Drosophila melanogaster: one gene and its partners. The protein of the gene in region 1 interacts with the protein of each later gene in a pairwise test. Each region holds a gene or a part of one and is shown in the gene's direction. Other genes may lie near its edges.

The links.
Region 2: the proteins of Ir60a (region 1) and CG7920 interact in a two-hybrid assay, tested with the Drosophila melanogaster proteins (one large-scale study listed by BioGRID).
Region 3: the proteins of Ir60a (region 1) and Men interact in a two-hybrid assay, tested with the Drosophila melanogaster proteins (one large-scale study listed by BioGRID).
Region 4: the proteins of Ir60a (region 1) and Gyf interact in a two-hybrid assay, tested with the Drosophila melanogaster proteins (one large-scale study listed by BioGRID).

Annotation. Positions count from the first base shown.
Region 1 is NT_033778.4:24,248,527-24,253,245, reverse strand, and holds Ir60a (ionotropic receptor 60a), read left to right. Parts: upstream 1-1,942; coding exon 1,943-2,857; intron 2,858-2,955; coding exon 2,956-4,191; downstream 4,192-4,719. Other genes in the region: nord, read right to left, coding at 1-125, 192-441, 515-600.
Region 2 is NT_033777.3:30,009,972-30,017,126, reverse strand, and holds CG7920 (uncharacterized protein), read left to right. Parts: upstream 1-1,842; 5' UTR 1,843-2,131; coding exon 2,132-2,312; intron 2,313-5,065; coding exon 5,066-5,458; intron 5,459-5,519; coding exon 5,520-5,924; intron 5,925-6,009; coding exon 6,010-6,464; 3' UTR 6,465-6,651; downstream 6,652-7,155. Other genes in the region: Mgat2 (mannosyl (alpha-1,6-)-glycoprotein beta-1,2-N-acetylglucosaminyltransferase), read left to right, coding at 253-467, 533-755; Nlp (nucleoplasmin), read right to left, coding at 7,147-7,155.
Region 3 is NT_033777.3:12,719,422-12,724,327, reverse strand, and holds the start of Men (malic enzyme), read left to right. Parts: upstream 1-1,885; 5' UTR 1,886-2,130; coding exon 2,131-2,192; intron 2,193-3,543; exon of another isoform or gene 3,544-3,661; coding exon of another isoform or gene 3,662-3,711; intron 3,712-4,300; coding exon 4,301-4,906.
Region 4 is NC_004353.4:864,005-868,835, reverse strand, and holds the start of Gyf (gigyf), read left to right. Parts: upstream 1-1,810; 5' UTR 1,811-1,860; exon of another isoform or gene 1,861-1,866; intron 1,867-2,541; 5' UTR 2,542-2,569; coding exon 2,570-2,905; intron 2,906-2,963; coding exon 2,964-3,134; intron 3,135-3,193; coding exon 3,194-3,488; intron 3,489-4,424; coding exon 4,425-4,831.

The DNA of each region.
Region 1 (4,719 bases):
TCATGGGCTGCTGGTCCGTGTAGGCGGACACCGCCTGGCAGAAGTTGGTGAAGATCATCCGCGGCGTGTCCATGGAGAGTCTCTGAATCACCAGGCAATAGTGCATGACATGGAAATCAAACTTGCTGAAACGATTTTGAATAATCATAAGTTATAAGTATATCCGTGTAATAAAATCATCTAGATCTCACCTCCTTTCCCACTTGACGATCATCTCGCGCTTCCGCACGCGATTCTGGGTGCGAATGGCGATTCGGTGCGTGGCGTTGAGGAGGGGCCAGTCGTGCTGGGGATGCTCTGCCAGGGCGTCCACCTTGAGGGCTCCCGAGTGGCGGGCGAGGACGAAGAGGTCGTACTGGCCACGCAGGGCGCAGGGCAGCACCAGACTGCCCACAGCCACACCTGGCCCAGGTGCCACTGCCGCCGGCCGAAGGGGGTTTCCTGCAGAGGCGGTTGGGTGGCGGGTTAGTGGCGGTTGGTGGCGGTATGCGGCTCCTCAAAGGGGCGGACTTACCTGTCTGATTGTAGTACATCTTGCGGCCCACGGGCGCCGAAAAGCGAATCGTCAGCGGCGTCGAGTCGTTCAGGTTCAGCACAAATCTGGAAGACGGAGAACGAGATGAAGGCGGCTCTTCGAGGGGCGGAGTAAGTGAGCTGTTAACGCCCTTTGTCAAAAATGATGACACTAAATTATCACACGCAATTTGTTTTGCCGCCTGTCTGAGCCGAACTGAACCAAATGAGTCAGCGGCTTTTGGCCATACCCTCCCTGACTAAAGGATCAGCTTGGTTAGATAAGTCGTAACTTATAACTTATAACTTAACTTAACAATAACTAACTAACTAACTAATGAAATAACAATGGTGTCAAAAAGAATCTCATTTTGTATCTCTCACTGCATACTTTTAAATCACCTTTGGTATACAAGTTGGCTTAATTACGGGGCATCCGAAAGGGTATACCCTCTTCGGCTATCCTTGTCCTTTCGCCAACTTTGTTTATCCATCTTCGCTGATGCCGCTGCAACTTTGTTGCAGCCAAAGATTGCGCTCAAGTCCCCTGGGCACTGGCCCTTTGCTGAATTTGCTGGCTCTTGTATTGTAATTAAATGCGAAATTTACGAGCAATTTTTCTAATGACAAACTGCTAAGACAAATGAGCTCGCCGATACACCCACATGGACACAGGGAAACAGGGAGCTTCGAGCTGGCAAGGATGCAGTTTCCAAAGGGGCAGGACAGGATGGCCATTCCATTGCAGCAAATGACTCATTGACTTGGCGAGATGGTCGGCCATCTCGAGTTTTATTTTTATGACCGGCTACTTCCGGCCAACGCCATGGGCCATCCTCCTCGTCATCATCCCCCGCAATCCGGACGAGCGAACAGAAGTTGGTGCGCCACATAGCCATATAGCCATTATACCATGCAGTCCGTCGTATTTTTGGCCGCCCTGCCAAAAGGTTCGGATTGATGGAGTGTTTTAATGCATTTCGACCATTGTTGGCGGTGGCGCCGCTGCGACTGAGCAAATATTTGCTTTAATTTAAGCCTTGCATGTTGCAATGGCGATTGTTTGTTGTTTTCTGCTGTTGTTATTATTGTTGCTGGGGGCATCCTCGTTGTCGGCACGCTGACAGCAGTCAATTATACAAGGCAAACAACGGCCAAAGGCGAAAGTTGAATGCGCTTCCGGACGCGAAACTCCAGAATGACTTAATGCACTTTTACAAGCCAGCAGTGGTTGTTTAATGGACGGATTATCATATTACAGCGATTTGCGATGGATCAGTCAGAGGCACTGTGTAGTGTTAATACTGTTCCAGACCCCAAACCGATATACCCAAGCAATCAAATGTAGGACATCAGTCACATCACCTTCCCACGGAAACTCACACCAGCCGCAGTTAATTCGCAATTGTCCGACGTGACAGAAGCAATAATGTGGTGTAATAATCCGGGTCTCATCATCATCATCTTTCTGGGGCAGATTTTAAACCTGTGCCAGGGGATAGTGAATCTTTCGAATGAGACGGCCAACACGGTCATCTTCATGCTGCCCGAAAAGGACTTGGGTCCCGATGTGTGGAAGGCTGGAGTGGGCTGCCTCGATAGCTTCGCCCAAATCTTCTTCTTTCGCAACCCGAAGGAGCGCTTCACCAGAGCCTATAACTTGATGCTGGTGCACGCCTTTCATCTGTCCAGTCCGGCGGATCAGATCCAGGAAGGATTCAGCAAACTGATCAACGAAGCAGTCACGAATCCAGGGCCGCCGGACAGGGAGGAACTCTTCCAAATGCGCGTGGCCAGTGATTACAACATCACGAATGGGACCGAAGACAAGGGAGAGCTGATCCTAGCGGACAATTATGTGATAGTGGTGGACTCGGTGGATCGATTAAAAGAGCTAATGAAGAAAAAAATTGTCGAAATGCGATCCTGGAATCCAGGAGCGCGTTTTCTGGTGCTCTTTCATAATGCGACTTGTCGGAATCGACCGCTTGGCGTAGCCTCCAATATTTTCAAGGACCTCATGGAAATGTTTTACGTGCACCGAGTTGCTCTTCTCTATGCCAACTCCACCATGAACTACAATCTGCTGGTCAATGATTACTACAGCAATGTAAACTGCAGGATTCTGAATGTCCAGAGCGTGGGCCAGTGCCACGATGGCAAACTTTACCCCAATAATGCTGTCGTTAAGGCCTCCATGCAGGACTACGTATCAGGATTCAGTCCCAGGAACTGCACCTTTTTTGCCTGTTCCTCCATCTCTGCTCCCTTTGTGGAGGCCGACTGTATCCTGGGACTAGAGATGAGGATCCTGGGGTTCATGAAAAATCGACTGAAATTCGATGTGAGTATTTAACACTTTCATACTTCAAGATCGTCTTGGCTTGCAAAAGTCCTGCTTATTGTGCTAAGCTAACAACTATCCTATTTTCCACTGGTAAGGTAAACCAAACCTGCAGCCTGGAGTCACGTGGTGAAATGGATGGCCCAGCTAACTGGACTGGATTACTGGGGAAAGTCCAGAACAACGAGTGCGACTTTGTCTTCGGCGGCTATTATCCGGACAACGAGGTGGCGGACCATTTTTGGGGATCCGATACCTATCTGCAGGATGCGCACACGTGGTACATAAAAATGGCCGACAGAAGACCCGCCTGGCAGGCGTTGGTGGGTATTTTCGAAGCCTACACCTGGATTGGATTCATCCTGATTCTAATAATCAGCTGGCTGTTCTGGTTCACCCTGGTTATGATTCTTCCGGAGCCGAAGTATTACCAACAGTTGAGTCTTACGGCCATTAATGCCCTGGCCGTCACCATATCGATAGCCGTCCAGGAACGACCCATTTGCGAGACGACGAGGCTGTTCTTCATGGCCCTGACTTTGTATGGCCTGAACGTGGTGGCTACATACACGTCCAAGATGATAGCCACCTTCCAGGATCCCGGCTACCTTCACCAGCTGGACGAGCTGACGGAAGTGGTGGCCGCGGGTATTCCGTTTGGCGGCCACGAGGAGAGTCGCGACTGGTTCGAGAATGACGACGACATGTGGATCTTTAACGGATACAACATTTCGCCGGAGTTCATTCCGCAATCGAAGAACCTGGAGGCGGTGAAGTGGGGCCAGCGGTGCATCCTGAGCAACCGGATGTACACGATGCAGAGTCCCCTGGCGGACGTCATATACGCCTTTCCCAACAACGTTTTCAGCAGTCCGGTGCAGATGATCATGAAGGCGGGATTCCCCTTTCTCTTCGAGATGAACAGCATCATCCGCCTCATGCGCGACGTGGGCATTTTTCAGAAGATCGACGCGGACTTTAGGTACAACAACACGTACCTCAACAGGATCAACAAGATGCGCCCCCAGTTCCCGGAAACGGCTATCGTCCTGACCACGGAGCACCTGAAGGGACCCTTCTTCATCCTGGTGGTGGGCAGCTGCTGGGCCGCCCTCACGTTCATTGGCGAGCTAATAATCCACAGATGGCGAACCCAGCTGGTCAGCACGAGCGAGCAGCAGGACAGGAGGAGTGACAAGAGGAGGAGGAGGAGGAGGAGGAGGAAGCCAGAAAAGGATAACCGCTGGCAGCGACAAGTTCAAGTGGCTCCAGTCGTTCGATTTACGCCAGTCAAACGACGCAAAGTTTTCCAGGGACAAACAAGTCAAAAGTAAACTAACCCAAACTAACTCCCTAGATGGCTGCGATAAAATTGACTCAATTCACATAAATTTGCAATTGAGAGACACTGACTCTGACTCTGACTGGCAATCCCCAAGCCCGTCCCCCCGTCCTTCATCCCCCATCCTCCATCCTCCTGCGATGTCTGGGGCGCTTGTCTGGTCTATAGTCTATATAGTATGGCATAGTGTAGTATAGTATAGTGTGGTTGGTCTGGCCCGTGCCGTTCGGGTCGCTTCTGTTACTTTTCACGCGAAATACTTAAAATCAGAGACAAAATTCTATTTTTGCAAACAACAACGGCGGGGAGTCTGTGCCCGTGCCTCTGGGATTGGCATTGGGATTGGGATCGGGAATGGAAGTGGAGGCGGGCAGGGCAGTGCGCAGTGGACGAGCTCCTCGCCCCGCTTTCCGCAAATTGACAATCAGCCTCAGCTTTCCCAGCTGCTCTGCTGCCGGAAAACTCTGGGCGTAAACAGAGATAAAGAACGAGTTAAGCAGATATCCCTATAAGTGGCGCA
Region 2 (7,155 bases), on another chromosome or scaffold:
GGCGCGCACTGTACTCACTGTACCACCCCCGCAAATCCGGCTTAAGCACTTTGAATCCGCCTAGTGGTTAGTCCAGGACGAAGACGGAGCAAGTGCCCGTGGAGAGCGGAATCCGAACGACGCGGAAATTTGAAATTTGCATGCCTCCACTCCACCCCCAACCTTACCTTTTGCTAATCCGTTTTCTATATTGTTGCTTGCCCCATTATTTTGTGCATTGTGCTTGGTTGACCTGGTTCTTCTCTTCGGCAGGTGGAGGTCATGCCCTGGGTCAGCAGCAAGCACAACATGGGCTTCGCCTTCAATCGCACCACCTGGTCGAACATCCGGAAATGCGCCCGCCACTTCTGCACCTACGATGACTACAACTGGGACTGGTCCTTGCAGCACGTTTCGCAGCAGTGTCTGCGGCGAAAGCTGCACGCCATGATTGTCAAGGGGCCGCGAGTCTTCCACATCGGAGAATGGTGAGCATGTGGACCCCTGTCGTCCAACGGAGCGCCATAGTAATTCGTGTCCTCCTCCCTTCCAGCGGCGTTCATCACAAGAACAAGAACTGCGAGTCCAACCAGGTGATCTCGAAGGTGCAGCACGTGCTGCGCATAGCCCGCAACTCGCACCAGCTCTTCCCGCGCTCCCTCACCCTCACGGTGCCCAGTCTGATGAAGAAGTCGAAGCTGCGCAAAGGCAACGGCGGCTGGGGCGACATGCGGGATCACGAGCTGTGCCTCAACATGACGCTGGCCACGAGGTAAGGCCGGGGAGCCCACGGAATGGAAACCAATCAGTCAGCAGCAAGGAAGCCTAGCTAATAGCGTTATCTAAGTAGGATTATTAAGCAGTAGTCTTAGTCACTGTAAACGAACATTCAGCAAGTACTCTGCATTAGCTAACTAACCGAAAATAATCAAAGGCCAGAAGGCAGAAGCCGGAAGCCAGAAGGCATGAGCCGGAAACCGGAAACCGGAAGCCAGAAGCCCAAAGACCCTCGCCTCCGGCGCTGCACAACTCATACTATAAGTAACCCTCTAGTCACACATTCAATTGGAATCGCCGTGTTGTTGCAACCTCCAATCTTGTGCCGTTCGCCCTTCAGTTTGTCGATCATCACTGGAAGTGTTTAGGCTCCGTCCAGATCCAAAGATCGACAGAGTTCCAAGCGACGGGGCGGCAATCCTTCAAACTGAAACCAGAAACTAAACCTACGAATACTAGCGATAGACCATACACATACATACATATGTACTAACTCGTATCCCCAGATTGTGCCGAAGCCGTTTCGCAAGCGGCCAATTAATTTGAGTCTAGATCTAGAGGCAGCAAATCGCATAAACTAGTCATAGCAATGTATTACAGCACATGCGCTATAATACATCATAGATCAAACTTTTGATATATCTACGAGCCTACGTTTTAAGCCTGTACATAGAGGAATTGCGTTGTATACATCACATAAGGTCTTTTTATGATATTAACGCGGAACTAATGTAATTTGTTATTTTTTAATCGTTAGTCCAAAGCGCTTTTATGTATTAGGAATTTTGATTAATCGAACGAATAATCCTAGTGAATAAACGCCAAGTAAATGCTCTACCAGTATAGACTTTAAAAACCAAAACAATGTGTTTCATTCGCCTAAGAATTGCACTTATCAGCGTTCAAAAGTGGCGCCAAATGCACCAACAATCGATAAATATCGATAGCCGGTATTATCGAACTGCCCGTGCGTTGCTCAACACAGGCAGCTGGTAGTTTTTGAAATATCAAAATAAAATGTGGAAAGAAACAATAGATTTCAAAATTCCTTACCACATTGGAACACATTAAACAATCAAATGAGTACATCTACGTGAGTGCTACGAAGTGCAGAGGAGTAGGCCGCAGCTGGGCGGGATTAAATTGCGATCGGTGGAAGAGAGCTTTCGCCGCGGAGCTTTTATGGCGTTTTTGCTTGGCGAACCAGTTGCAAATTTGGTGCCGCAGCGGACGGAACTCAGCGCAGCAGTCTCTCCCCAGTGAAAACCCACCACTCATCGCCTCCTGCATCTCGCGGACTTCTCGCTTAACCCTTTGCGACGTGCGTGCCTACAACAGAGTACTCAGTACACACTACTACACTACACAGTCCACCATGAGCAAACAATTGGCGCGCCATGTGGGCCAGCTGAACAGCCTCCTGAAGACGGCGGCCACCGCCTCCTCGGTCTCCGCCCACAACAACTACTTCACCTACGTGCGGGAGCTGTCGCATCCCATCGCTCGAGAGCCTCCAATCGTCAAGCCGGAAGAGGCCGTGGCATGTGTAAAATCCGGTGAGTCCCACTGGCCCCCATATCATTTGGCCAGGAGCCCGCCACGCCCCCCCTTCCACCGTCCTAGCGGAACTGGCCTCCCAGTTATCGCTGCCTTGCGCTGTTTGCAATCTTTCGGTTATGTAACCTTCTAGTGGGCTTGCTTATGAAAACAGAATGAAAACGAGAACACCGGGTTGTGGGGCCATGCAAATGTAAGCCCATGTGTGCCCGCAATCCAAACTACTTTGGAGCACATATGCATGTACATACGTACATATGTACGTAAATAGGGAAGGGCACTCACAGGGTGCTGGGTATATGGATGGCTGGCATTTAATTGACCGTGATTAGGAGCCACTCGTGGGGATATATAATACACAAGTTAGAATCAAATATTTAGTGTATTGTATTACCTTGTGATAGGGAATAGGTTTTTAGTTGATTGGGGTTCTAGTATGATAAATAGTTAGGGGAGTTATACAATAGGGAAATCACACTTCAAGTAGCTGCCCTTATCAAAATGCTATCCTCCTTGTGGCGGCTATCAGTAGACCCCATGTTTTTATTCGTAATTCCTGGTGTTGCAGCAGCACAACTGTAAGTTATATTCATTTAATCGCGTGAAACCAGCTGTGCGTGCCCCTACCACGTACATATGTAGATATTTATACACATTTAATAATGCATACGAGTATACTCGGCGCTATAGATGAGTTTCCAGCCAAGTTGTACTTTGTACCCCGGGCAAAAAGAAGAGAAAGGTCCGATGCAAAGCTCAGCTTGGTGGCAAGAACAACCTTGTATGTAGCTCATAAACAAGTCAGCCGGCCTCTGGATGTGGTGCTGATAAGGCCTGCTCTCTGTAGGAACCTATATACCATATACTATGGTATATAGCAGCACCTCTATAAGAAGGCAAGGTTATGCAACGTGTATCAGCAGGTGAATTATGGAAACAAAAGCATGAATGGAGTGCTTCGAAAAATATTCATTAATTCCTAACAAGCTTTCTTATCAAAACGATAAATCTGTTAGATAATTTGTATATGTTCGTTTAACGAAACCAGTCATCTGATTTTTGGGAACCCTCTGCTCTGATTAAATTCAATTGTCCCAATTTGGAGGCGAGTCTCCTGGGATTCAGATGCAAACAAATATGTGGACACGCCCTCGGCGCCCGCTTAAATCTCAATTTCTTAGCACTTCTACGGCATCTCATCAGCAGGTCCCTGCAAATTGGTGATATTGCGGAGGGGGGCGGGTCTTTGGAGGGGGAGTGGCACATCGCAGCGCCCAGCGAAACGTCACCCAAAATCGGTATCTCTAATTTTAGCCAAAATCACCAACACGAGCCATGCCAAATCTGCGACGTAATTTGATTTGGAAAACTTTTTCGTTTGGCACGTTTTTGGCAGATAATAAGTGGTACAGTAGGCACTAGCTAACTAAGCCTATGCGTAAGAAATGCATAATTGGCCTTTTCAAGTAACGGTAAATAAATAAATAAATTGATTGTGAAGCCTCGCGGAAAACTTGACCGTGTGTGTCGACGTGGCTCAGACGTCTACCGATAAGAATCGCACTTATCGCATGATTACCCCAGTTGAAGGGGCTCGCTCGTTCGACTTAATGTACATCATGGTTCTTTCTATTCCCTCATACAGAGGAACTTCGGAATGCCAGCCTCTTCAGGGGGGAGACCAAAATAGATTGGCCAAACATGTTGCATGTGCTTAAGACTGCATTAGAGATGCAATTCAGATGTGTATTAAATAGATACAAAATTTATACATTTTTATAGACCAAGTATACAAGTATCATTCGTCCCAAAGTTCCGATTAAAAGCTACAATTCTCTTACGTAACACAGCCCAATCAGATACATTTTGATCAATTGATGTGCTTCTACTTTCTGGCTCGTTAATCAAATGACAAAATCTATATATTATACTATAATCTCGAATCGACATGTTTGCCATGTAATGCCAACTGGGAAACCGGTGTTATTTATTTACAAACATTCATTATCACGCGTTTCTGGGCAATAAGCGCTCCCACTCCTCGCATTCGCATTATCACTCTGCCTATTAACTAATATACATTTTTACATATGAATGTATGTATGTATAGCTATAGCTTTTAAGCTTTCGAGAGCAAGTGGAATGATCAGAGAGAAAATTACCGAATTTCGGAACAATTCGTTTTGGAAACAAATTTATAGTCTCAATGAAAGCATGACCAGCGCAATAAAAATATGTAAATAACCATGAATGACTTAGAGAAACATTATTTGCTGATTAAAGCTCTAAAGAATGTTTATATTACTATTTATAACAATTTTAATAACAATATAAATATATATATGAATGTTTTTTATTATCAATTATCAGAGAGTGTTCTAATTTCAAAACAAGTTTTTCTCTTAGCGACATTATAAACTTATTTTATTTCGAAGTGCATTAATTGCCAGCTCAGGATTCCATTGAATGGATTAGGCCACGCTCTTCAAATTAAGATATCATAAAGTTCAAGAACTGATAGTAATCCTGGTTATTTCGTTATCATTGAACACTCAAAGCATAACTAATTTAATTAGACAATATTGAAAAGCATTATTTGTAGGCGCTCGGATAGCATGTCATGCAAATCTTTAGATAAGACCTGCTGAATAGATTAAAGTGTACAATAACTGCCGATTGACTGATTAGCAGCGTGTGCGTAATAAAAATATTGGTAATAAAACCTGCGGTTTCTCGCCTTCATTCCATTCAGGTGACACGGTTTTCGCCGGAGGAGCAGCCGCCACGCCCGTGGCTCTGCTGAACGCGATGGCCAAGCACGGAAAGAGCAACAACCTGGAGTGCGTCACGGTGTGCCACATGCACACGGAGGGTCCTGGCGAGTACGCCAAGCCGGAGTACAAGGACCATTTCCGTTCAAACTCCTTCTTCATGGGCGCCAACGTGCGCAAGGCTGTTGCCGACGGTCGTGGCGATAATGTGCCGATCTTCCTTCACGAGATCCCGAATCTGTTCTACAAGCAGATCGTAAAGCCAGATGTGTCCTTCATCCACGTGTCGCCGCCGGATAACCACGGCTACTGCTCCCTCGGCACCAGCGTCGATTGTGTGCGCGCTGCGCTGCTCAACTCGAAGCTCATTGTGGGTGAGTTGCGTGAACGTCAGTTGTATGATTTATAGTGGGACTAATGCTACTCCTTCTTTAGCTCAAATCAATCCCAAGATGCCGCGCACCTTCGGCGATGCCATCATCCACAAGTCTCACTTCGACCTCGCCATCGAGGTGACCGATGATCTGCCTCAGCACGGAACTGGTAAGATTTCCGAAGTGGAGAAGAAGATCGGCAAGCTCATTGCCGAGAACCTCGTCAAGGACGGCGCCACCCTGCAGATGGGCATTGGCAGCATCCCAGACGCCGTACTCGCCGCCCTGCACAACCACAAGGATCTGGGCATCCACTCCGAGATGTTCGCCAACGGTGTCGTTGAGCTCGTGCGCAAGGGATGCGTCACCAACAGCAAGAAGAAGATGCACCAGGGCAGAATTGTGGGCTCCTTCCTCATCGGTGACAAGGCTCTGTATGACTTCGTGGACAACAATCCCTTCATCGGTAGGTTTAGTTCTGAAACACTGAAGTTGAATTGAAAATGTATGGGATATGAGCTCGATCTAATGCCTCACTGTCCACCTTTCAGAGATGTACGCCATCGACTATGTGAACAACACCAGCATTGTGAAACAGCAGCCTCGCATGACGGCCATCAACAGCTGCATCGAGGTGGATCTGACTGGACAGGTGTGCTCAGACTCGATTGGTCCCCGCTTCTACTCCGGCTTCGGCGGACAGGTGGACTTCATTCGCGGAGCGGCGGAGGGTCTCGATGGACTGGGTGTGCCAATTATTGCCATGCCATCGACCACCAACAAGGGCGAGAGCAAGATTGTTCCCACGCTGAAGGAAGGCGCTGGCGTCGTCACTTCGCGTGCCCACGTCCACTACGTCGTCACGGAGCATGGAATCGCCTCGCTGTTCGGCAAGAACGTGCGCCAGAGGATGTACGAACTCATCCAGATCGCCGATCCCAAGCACCGCGAGACCCTGGAGAAACAAGCCTTCGAGCGCATCAAGGTTATGCCCTCGCCGAACTAAGCAAGCACTGAAGAAGCACTAGAGATCACTATTTACTAGCAGCGACCCGCAATCTTTGAAGGCATTCCCGATATCGCTTTGATCCACTTCATAGAACTGCAATCATGATAGCCCTTTAGCATTACCAAATCTGAAATTTCAATTGATGAGTAACGAATTGATGGGAGAAATAAAACTGAAATTGATTAAATGCCTGGTTTCAAGAATGTTTGCTAAACGGGGAAGATAAGTATTTATAGTTGCCACTTAGTTCATCAGTGTAAGAGAGCGTTTAAAACGAACTCCCACTTTAGTAAAATGCAATAATATTGTTTGTATTCCGACAAGTTTATTTTCATACTGCAAATATGAAGGGGCGCGTACAGGAAGTCCGGCTTAGCTTTAGTTATACTTTAATATATATACAAATCTGTGTGTTCGATTAGTGTCCGGATCAGTCACAGTCCGATCCGCTCCCGCTTCCGGGTGCGGAACTCCTGGCTGAGCGACAGACCATTCGCTGGGGAAACACGACCGAGCACACAACGTTGTCTTTGAATTGAATGTAAAAGGAGCTGTTCAAAAGGAACTAGATTGTATTCTCAGTATGCATCGTATTGTATTATAGGGCCTAAAACTGTTTTTGCTTTAAAATCTACACGTTCATAGCTTAAACCTCGATGGATGATTGGCGGTCAGCAGTTTACTTCTT
Region 3 (4,906 bases), on another chromosome or scaffold:
GCACTGGACTCGGAAAATCAGCTGACACACCTCTAAAATAGCAATCGCGCGGTTTGAGTGTTGTATTATAAAATGGCAAACTATCAATTGGTCATTGATTTTATTTTCTAACGCAGGTTACAAACATGCATTCCTAAATTGACCCACCAATTTATGGTGAAATAATGTAATTCATAACAAAAGGTGTTATTGTTACAATTATTATTATTATTTGTATTTGTATAATACAAAAGAAACCGTTAATCATAGATAAATAACGGTCGTTTTCAGAACTGCAGCTGGCGCCATCTGTTATTATTTATGAACACTCCAACGCAAACAAAGCTTTTAAGCTTTTATTACATTAACAGTAGCGCCTAAAATTAACGGCCAAATCTAGAGCTTAACGATAGCGCCATCTATTATATTTTAAGCGAACTATCACTTATCAGTAATGTTTTGCAATGCTAGGTTTTATGGTTCTGTTAAACGAATTTAAAAAAATATAAATTATAAAAATTTCTAACTGGAAATTTCCATTCGGAGTGGTTTTTAGTATTTTTTGGAGTTTCGCTTGTATAATCATTGTTATTGTTGGCCTCCTTAAGATACTTTCGTGGTCACTATTGTATGAACTAGATAGAATGAATCGAAATTTTAACAAACTACGATGTTATCTGTGGTTTTTAAAATACATATGTAGATAAGTTAATAATGGTATAGCGACATTCTTTGTTAGTTTTATATGCACACTTTACTTCAATAATCCAACAATTTTCTCGTATATGTCGATAATACCAATATTAATGCAGCCACGATTCCGCCGTATGGTTTTTTTTTACTGACTTAACTGAAATTACAATTGACCCTGGCAGCAATTGAAATCGTGTTGCAACTTTTCATACGACACTTTCGCAAATTTTAGACAGTAAACACAAGCCGACACTTCAACAATAAATTCGATATAGCAAACCAAACCCAGTAATTAATGTGTGTCATATTTGCACAATTGAACAAGATCTTTGAACATTAGTGCAATATATATTATGATTTCAACAGACAGCAGTGCAATAAAGCAAATCTAATTAAAATTCGAGTGCCACCCAGGCGACAAATGAAACAGCGGTAAAATCATTAGGTGATAAAATCAGAGTCAAAAGGCGAAAAAAGCCTAAGGATCCACCACACCGACTACCGAGTCCCCTTCCCCATCGTTTCAACTCAGTGCATTTGAAATGACCCGGAATTCATTGGATTTATAAATTTTTCTTCGCCACTTGCCAAGTGCAGCCGACTGGGACGCGATGGTCAGCAATCGAGTTGCCTTCTTTGAAAGCTGAAATTATTATTTTTTAATTGGCCAGCAACAAATTGCTTCATGCATTTGTGTGTGCCGCCCAGAGGTCACTGCGATTAACCAACCGCTCAGGTTTTGTGTGACTCCAAGTGAAGTACAACTCAGCGCCAAAGCTTCTCTAAGGCTGCAACGATTAATCAAATACGGTGAAACCCCGAAATGAAAGTCTTGCTAGATTAAAATTAAAAAGAGAATACAAACAAACCCATTTTTGTATAGTCCTTTTGTAAAGCATAAAAATTTACAAATTATAGTTAAATAAAACAGCAGATTACCTAATATCAACGTTAAATAGTGTTTAAAGTTATTGATTTTTATATAAGAAATAAACTAAAAACCTATTAAAAATGCATTTTAGATTTCATCCTTTTTAGCGAGGGGCCACTGTAGCCGTCTGGGCCTACCAAAGTGACTCAGTGGAGCAAATGTCGCGTGCTGCCTGCGTGCGGGTGCGAGCGGGAGGGCAGCACCGGACACTCTCCTTCTCCTTCTCCTTTGGGCCGCCCGCTGCTAGCAAGTTGCCTCCGGTGTTCGCAGAGCCGCGATTTCAGCGCGAGTTCAGTTTTTGATTCAGTTTCAGGCGGTTCGGAGTTGCTAAGTCAAGCGCAATAGCTCAAAATACACTTTTTTTAATTTTTGTTAATAACTGTTTTTAATAATTCCGGTGAAACATCGCGTGGTCAAGCGAACTGAGTTAATTTTCGCGTTAGAAAAGTTCACAAGTTTTGCGTTTACCAAATAATTAACTATAACTATTTAACTGGAGCTAATTTAACTGAAATTTAGAACCCAAAATGGGTAATTCCAGTTCCATTTGCGCCGATCGCAATGTCATAACAAATTTCGATGAAAATGGGTAAGAAATGAAATGGAAAAGTGAACAAACTGAAGCTGAACTCAAGCGATTGGCAAAAGAGGATTTCGAAAATGCGAGAGTTGGCCAAAGAGTTTGTGTTTACTAATGCGCAAACATGTTTGTAATTAATTTGTTTATTTTTATTGTTACTAAAAACTAATAACTGAAAGATTAGGAAATTATATTTTACATAAAAAAGTTATTTATAAAAAACCATTACAAATTCTTAACATTTTTTGTTTCGATACTTAATATATTTAAGTAGATCCTTTCCTGCAACTACAAGTTTTTTCTTGTGCAAATGCAAGCCAAGCCACCGCCCTCAGCCCCGCCCCTCCAATAATTTGTTTCTCGAGGTGTCATTAGTGGTCAATGATTCGTTTTACTAGTGTTTTATCAACGATTTACAGGCGACTCGTCGGCGTTGCGATAAAAAAGAATAACTTCTGACACACGCCATCGATAAAAAATTAGAGCACCACCTTCTTAATTAACGATTTTCGAAGTAAAAAGAAAAAAAAAAGTTAGAGCGACAGGTGTGTTTTGCTCACGAAGGTACTTGGAAAATGTAATTCGTTGGCAAAGCTGAAGTAAATTGTTAATATTTATGAAGGTTGCTCGGGCACACACACAAACATGTGTGATATATTCCAATTTATTCGCCTGCCGTGTTTTACTTTCAATTTTTGTGTAATAATTGAATATATCAAACAGACATCCGAGCAAAAGCGGAACGGGCCCACCGGTCGTATGAGTGAGTCAAGTGCAAAGTGGGGCGGGAACTGAAGCGATTCGGGACACTGAAGGTTAAGGTTGGGGTTTGGGGCTTCTACCTTGAGGCGTCTCTTTAAATAATTTATACTTAGTCAGATGCCACAAGTTCAGGAGGTATTATTGGTTTATATTTAACGCCATCGAGTCTAATAATCTCTAATAGAAAAGGTTCGGTTTATTTAATTCAAGTAATGCACGCACGTTGTACTTAAGTTTACATTAAAATCAAAGCTACTGATTATAAATAATAGTAGATAAGAAATTGCTAACTGCAATACTCTATAGTCTAATTTGAATACTATTATTTCGACCGCTGCTGTTCTCACGGAAACTTTTCGCATGCTATTCACGCCGCATCGCAATGTTTTCCAGGTCCCAGACAAATGATTTGATGGTAATAATCGTTGTTTAATGGCGTTTATATGTGCAGATAGTGTTTGCACCGCCCTTATCAGTCAGCTGATATACCCCACACAACTGAAACTAATCGGAGAGAAAGAGCCAAAGAGCGCGGAAACAAAACAAAATCGCAAAGTGTATACATATGGTGGTAGCAAAACAAATCGAATACTGCGGTTCAGTTCAGCACGAAAGCTGCAGCAACGCAGACAAAAGTCAAATACTCAGTGAGATAATTGTCGGCAAATCAATATACTAATAAGTATATAATATAGAAGACTTTTAAGAGCACCGCCATGTACTCGATCCTACGACGCTGTTCTGGTATCAGAAAAACTTTTGGACCGTGAGTCGAATGCAAGAATTTCAGAATAACAAGTATAATGTGGTGTCATACGATTGGACCACAGATCAAGAGGGTGTGTTTCTGAATTGGCAATAATCAGTGTCACTTTGGCACCACTTATCGGTTTCCATCTGGAAGGCGTGTCTGCGATGCATCGCCTCATCATATGACCATGCACATACGTTCAAACATATCAGCGCATTTCAAAGGTTCTGAAAACCTTGATAAGGAATCTGAAACGAAGAGTACCCACCCTTTAAGGGCCTCTTTTAACCCTAAATACCATTTTATTGCTCTACGACTTTTTGGCTATTACAAAAAGCTTTTTATGGTGAAATTCATATATTATTATATACTGTTATATAATATACTATTCAAATAAGATATATATACTATTAAAATGTAATATATATATTATTAACAATTGTTAGTGTGGGAACGTGGAGTGTGTACGATTAAAATTCAATTAAAAATGTTAACATCGGTTCTTTCAGAAAGAGTATCCGAATGTTGGTGACGAATTGGTTGTTATTGTCACTCCCGCATTGACATTCATTCACATATTGTCTGCTCTCTCTCTCTCCCTCAGCACGCCGGTTTATCCCACCGCCAACAATTCGCAGAGTCCTTCCTCATATAGTCGCGGCAAAGAGCGCGAGCTCGGCTGTTACACGAAGAGAAACAGCAACAGCAACAACAACAATAGCCATGAGAGAGAGAGTCAGAGCTGTTGTAGTAGTCGTGTGTGTAAAAATCATACGACCACAACGACAACCACACTCGAATACGAACTTTCCAATTTCGCAAAACTAACGACACGAATCACAACGCAAAGTGCCGCCGAAGTGGACACATCGCCGCATACGGATACGGAAACGCATAGGGACAGAGATTCGAATCCGGGTAATATAGCCTTAGCCACCGATTTGGAACTGCCCAAGGGTCTGCCGTTATCGTTATCCTCGCGACACCACTGGAATCAGCTGCAGAGCAGTTTGCACGCCCTTCACCACCAGCAACAGCAACAACAACAGCAACTACGTTCATACAGCTCCACTAGCGAAACAAATTTGGAAGACAAGATGAGCAAACCCGATTCGAAACTAGATAAATACGCGCAGCGCGATCGCCTGGGCCTTTGGGGCACTGGTGACAATGAGGTGGTCGGCAGCCTCTCCGGATTCACCCGACTCTT
Region 4 (4,831 bases), on another chromosome or scaffold:
TCAAGGACACCATGTTATTGTTCAAATGTTTAAAAATGTTTAAAAATTCAAAATTCATGTTTATTTAAATATTTTTAACACCTACACCATATGCATATCATTCGATTTCTGGAGGCATACTAGTAATCTTATAATTCTAGTCCATGATCTAATATTATAGCACAATAAAGCTAAATTAAATAACTACTTCCATTCTTAATATATTTATCTTTTTTGTATCATGGCGACTTCAGCGTGCCGAACTTCACTATTTTCTTAACAAAATTAATAGTTCAGAAATTTAGCTTAAACCATAGAATTATATGGGGATTCAATCAACTCTAATCTGGATAACCGTCCCATTGTTACTTATGAGGTTCAAATTTAATATATATTTATTTGTCTTTATCTTGCACTTAATGGGAACCAACATCAGGCTTACATATTATGCACTCACCCTGTCGTTGTAACTGTGTTGAAGGCCTTTCCACGTTGGTTAACGACGTACTGTAGGAGATTATATGTATAAAGTTTAACTGCCTTAGAAGCCGTTTTCATCCTTGCCGAGATAACGAGAAGCCTCGCCTACTGCTCGCCATTCCTTCTCATACTCCTAACTTGGAGCAGGCTGAGATCCTGCTGTTGCAATGATATTTTTTCCCCCACACGCAGGAACGCTCAGAACGGGTGCAACTGACTTTAGGTCTCGTTACGAAGTCTGCGTTTTTGGTTTACATTTTGAAATGACCCTTACGCTAAATTAAAAGCATTATAAGCGATGCGTTAAGCGCCCGATCTGGGAACAGTGCCAAAATTTCAGATGTACTCACTGCCTCGAAACGTGGTAAAGATTAAGATCGCTCGAGCTTCGCTGTTATACGATTAAGGTATCCGAAAATCCTTCAGAACATGGGCATCAGCGTTATGGGCGTCATATCGTTTTCAGACAAATCACATGCACCATTGGCGATTTTCGTTTCCAATATCTGGGCGTTCATACGTACGAACAGACAGTTATACAAAAGACAAAAGGGGTGCGTATACATCGCAGCAAATTTTTGACACATACCCCTCACTTCATGACTTATGTAAAAAGACCAAAATAATCACAAACCAGGTATTCATTTTGGATCAAACCAGACAAACGTGGTTATGAAAACGGTTATGAAAATAATGTAACCATATTAAAATTTATATATATATATATAAATATATATATCCACTACTATATATATATATATATATATATATTTAAATATATACATTTGTATTTATATATTTATTCAAAATAAACTAATACATCGTTTACTTACACTTTACTATTTCTACTGTTATGTTATAATACTGAAAAACTTGAACTTGAAATGAAAATCGACTGCTTGTTAAATATAAAATTATTAACAATTCCGAAAGACTAAGTTTCAATACAAAGCTAACAACAAGGTAGGAATCTAGCTTTGGCAGTGATAATAATTAAATAATAATATTAAAGCAAGAATTCCCGTTACTCAACTTAAAGAAAAAAATCAACACATAGTTAGTGGTCGTGGAAACATCGTCTGCGTCTATATCTATAGAATCAGCATGCTTTAAGTTCTAGTTCTTATAGTTCCTGAAAGCGAGACGTTCTTACAGACAGACGGATTGGTTGATTTAAAGATTGACACTTATGCATTCTCTAAATCCCGGTGCTTGATGTTGCAATGTGAAGACAAGGGTGATGTATCTGTCAACTAGTAGTAGTGGAGCTAGTGTATAAGAAGCAAAAGTGGCAAGAATACCCCTGTGCTAAATTAAATTGGAAGCTTGACATATCGCAAGACGGCCACGCTGGCCTTGCTCTATCTTATGTTGGCGTTGGTATTTTAAGATATCTCGGTGGTACGTGTAAGTTGAATATTTTTACGAAATTCAATTTAAAAAATTTTTTTAGGATGTGCAGTTATAGTGGCTTGATTTTATTAAGATTACCAGAAGAATTAACTAAACAATCTTTAAAATAAAACACACCCGCCCAGTGTGATAAAGTCACACAAATCAAAAATTTGTACATACATCACTGTGTGTCTGTATGCGTCCAGATACTTACGAATTTTTTTTACCTTTTAGATCTATATTAGTTCTATTAGTTCTATATTTCAAACATGAAAGCTCGAATCAGACATTTCAATTCTATAAACATGTTAATTTTAATGTGTGATGAGGGTGCATGTGTATTTCGCGTTCGTGTGTGACAATCAGTTTGATATTTTAGGTTAGGTTTCTGTGTTGCTTTTATATTATATTATTTTACTTTTACTATCCATTCTGTAAAGCTCTGGTAAGTTTTTTTTTATCACTAGTTCTTAACTAAGCTTTAAAATAAATCCTTTGTTGTACTGTTTGCTTTGAAAAAGACTTGAAGCTGTTTGCTTTATTTATAGAACTTGAACTGTTTGAAAAATAAACAATTGTGCACAGAATCATAAAGCCATTAGGAGTTTAACAAAAACACTGAAAATTTGATTTCATTGCCTTTCTTACAAATAAATCAACCAAAAACTTTTTTGAACTTATTGTCAGCATAACATTAAACAAGAGGCAAATAAAAATGACAGATTCAATGAAATTTGGCCCGGAATGGTTGCGCAATATGTCAGCCGAGCCTTCGGGCTCTCCCAGTACCTACAACGTTGGTAATGCAGCTCAAAACAATTCGATTGGAGGGCACAACCTGGGAAACAACACGGCGGCATCCGCTTCCCGTAATCTATTTCCAGAATACCGGTACGGACGCGAGGAAATGCTGTCCTTGTTCGATCGGAACTGCCTACTGCCGCAGATCCTGCCATCGTTCAAAAAGCTCTTCGTGGAAAAGGTTCAGTGCCCTCTTGCACTGACACCGAGCTCCGAGGAGGACATCAACCAAAACTCACTTGGCAATAACGTATGTGAAGTAATTTGACATGAGTTTTAGAACATAATTTACTTTTCTTTGAAACTAGTCTCGTCCTGCCTGGTTGCAGCGCTCGCCCAGTGGATTTGGTAGTGCCTCCCGAGGCTCTGGACGTGGTGGAACCGTTGACCGGGGACGGATGCGCGGAAAATCGGCCTATCATCCGATATACCAACGCCCAAGCGGTCTATATGATGAAAGCTTATCGGTTATATCAAAGGTAATTGCAAATACGAACTAAATAAGGAAGTACGATTAGTTGTTGATTTTTTCTGCCAGGCCGAACGCACATGGAGCGACCGCAACGGAACTGGAGATTCTGCGGCAACCACCACCTCCACTAGTGGCTCTGGTGCTCTAGATTGGAATGGAACTCCAAGCTCAAGTCCTCGAAAAGATTATTCTAATAATCATCGCAACTTGGAAAACTGGCGACGAACACGTAACGAAGATGGATCCGGTGATGGTCCATCCTCCAGCGGTTCCATGAGCGGACCCGATATTGCTGGTTGGCGGAGCGGTGTCGTCGGTGGAAGTACAAACGCAGGTTTTGGTACCAATAGCCATCGGTGGGGTCAGTCAATTACCTTTATATTATTATTTTTCATTTTTACTCCTACACATATGAGCACAATAATACATGTACTGCTATCTCTATCATGTAAATTTGACTTTCCAAAACTTTCCCCAGCCTATATAGTTGGCTATTCATTCGATACCATTCATGCTACAATCTGTTGTAAAGTTTGTGTTTCTTTAAAACGTATTCTAAAAAACCTTTTCATAAATATATTAAAATTAAGATTAAATGTTTTAGTTAATGAAGTATTTTATATGAGAATATTTAAACAAAAATGCTAATAGACCAGCTGAAATCCCTATGGTAATTTCTATGCAATGCATCAGGCCTTGTTTTTATTTCATTCCTAAAGTACATCGCTGGTAGCTTTAGTACGTTTTCAAATAATGATCTTTTTTTTTCCAGAATAGACTTGATTTATCAAAATTGAAAAATAAAAAAACGCGAGCCCATTTTAAGTGTTATGTATCAAAGTCCAACTAACTAACAGTTCAAACTATTCAAATATGGGCTTGCCTATACATAACAACGTAACCAAATATACTTTTTACACTTTGATACGCTTTACGCTTTATTAAAATGTACTTCTTCACCCGGTAATCTTCTATCGAAGTTTGGATACTATAATAAATTGTATATATAATGTATTTATAAAATTTTTGTCGTGCTTAGTGATTAAGAGTTAGTGTTCTGCCGCTATGTGGATCAGGTGTACAATCACTGACATATTTGCTTTCCTACTTGTATATCTGAATATCGCTTGCATTTCTAGTATCTAACTAAATGGGTAACAGTTTTGCAATAGCTCGACTATAGCGGTTTTCTGTTTAGTAAGTTTGCTATATTTGCTAAGAAGATGAACCAAGTTAAAATTTAAATAGTCCAAGTTATTGAACAACAGTATAGAACTTAAAAAAAAATTTTTTTTAGGAAGATCTACAAGCTGGCGTGATGAAGATCCTAGCGTCGACAATGCAGCTAGTTTACAACGCTCAATTTCAACAGTTGCGACTTTAAGTACAGATCGGACTGGAAACAATAAAGGATCTGGAATCGGAGCTGCAGAGGGAGTAGGGAGCATATCGCACCCACGGTTGTCGAGTTCTAAAATATCTCAATTATGGACTGTTAATAATGCAGCCGGTGTTGATGCCGACGAAAATCTACCCGAATGGGCAATTGAAAATCCATCGAAATTGGGTGGCAGTTTTGATGCTAGTGGAGCCTTTCATGGAGATACTGATCTAAAACCTATCAAAAGTTCGCATAATACTTTAAAAACCAAAAGCTTAGACTCCTATGACGATGTAAAAAGACCGAAAAGTAAAGACCTGTCT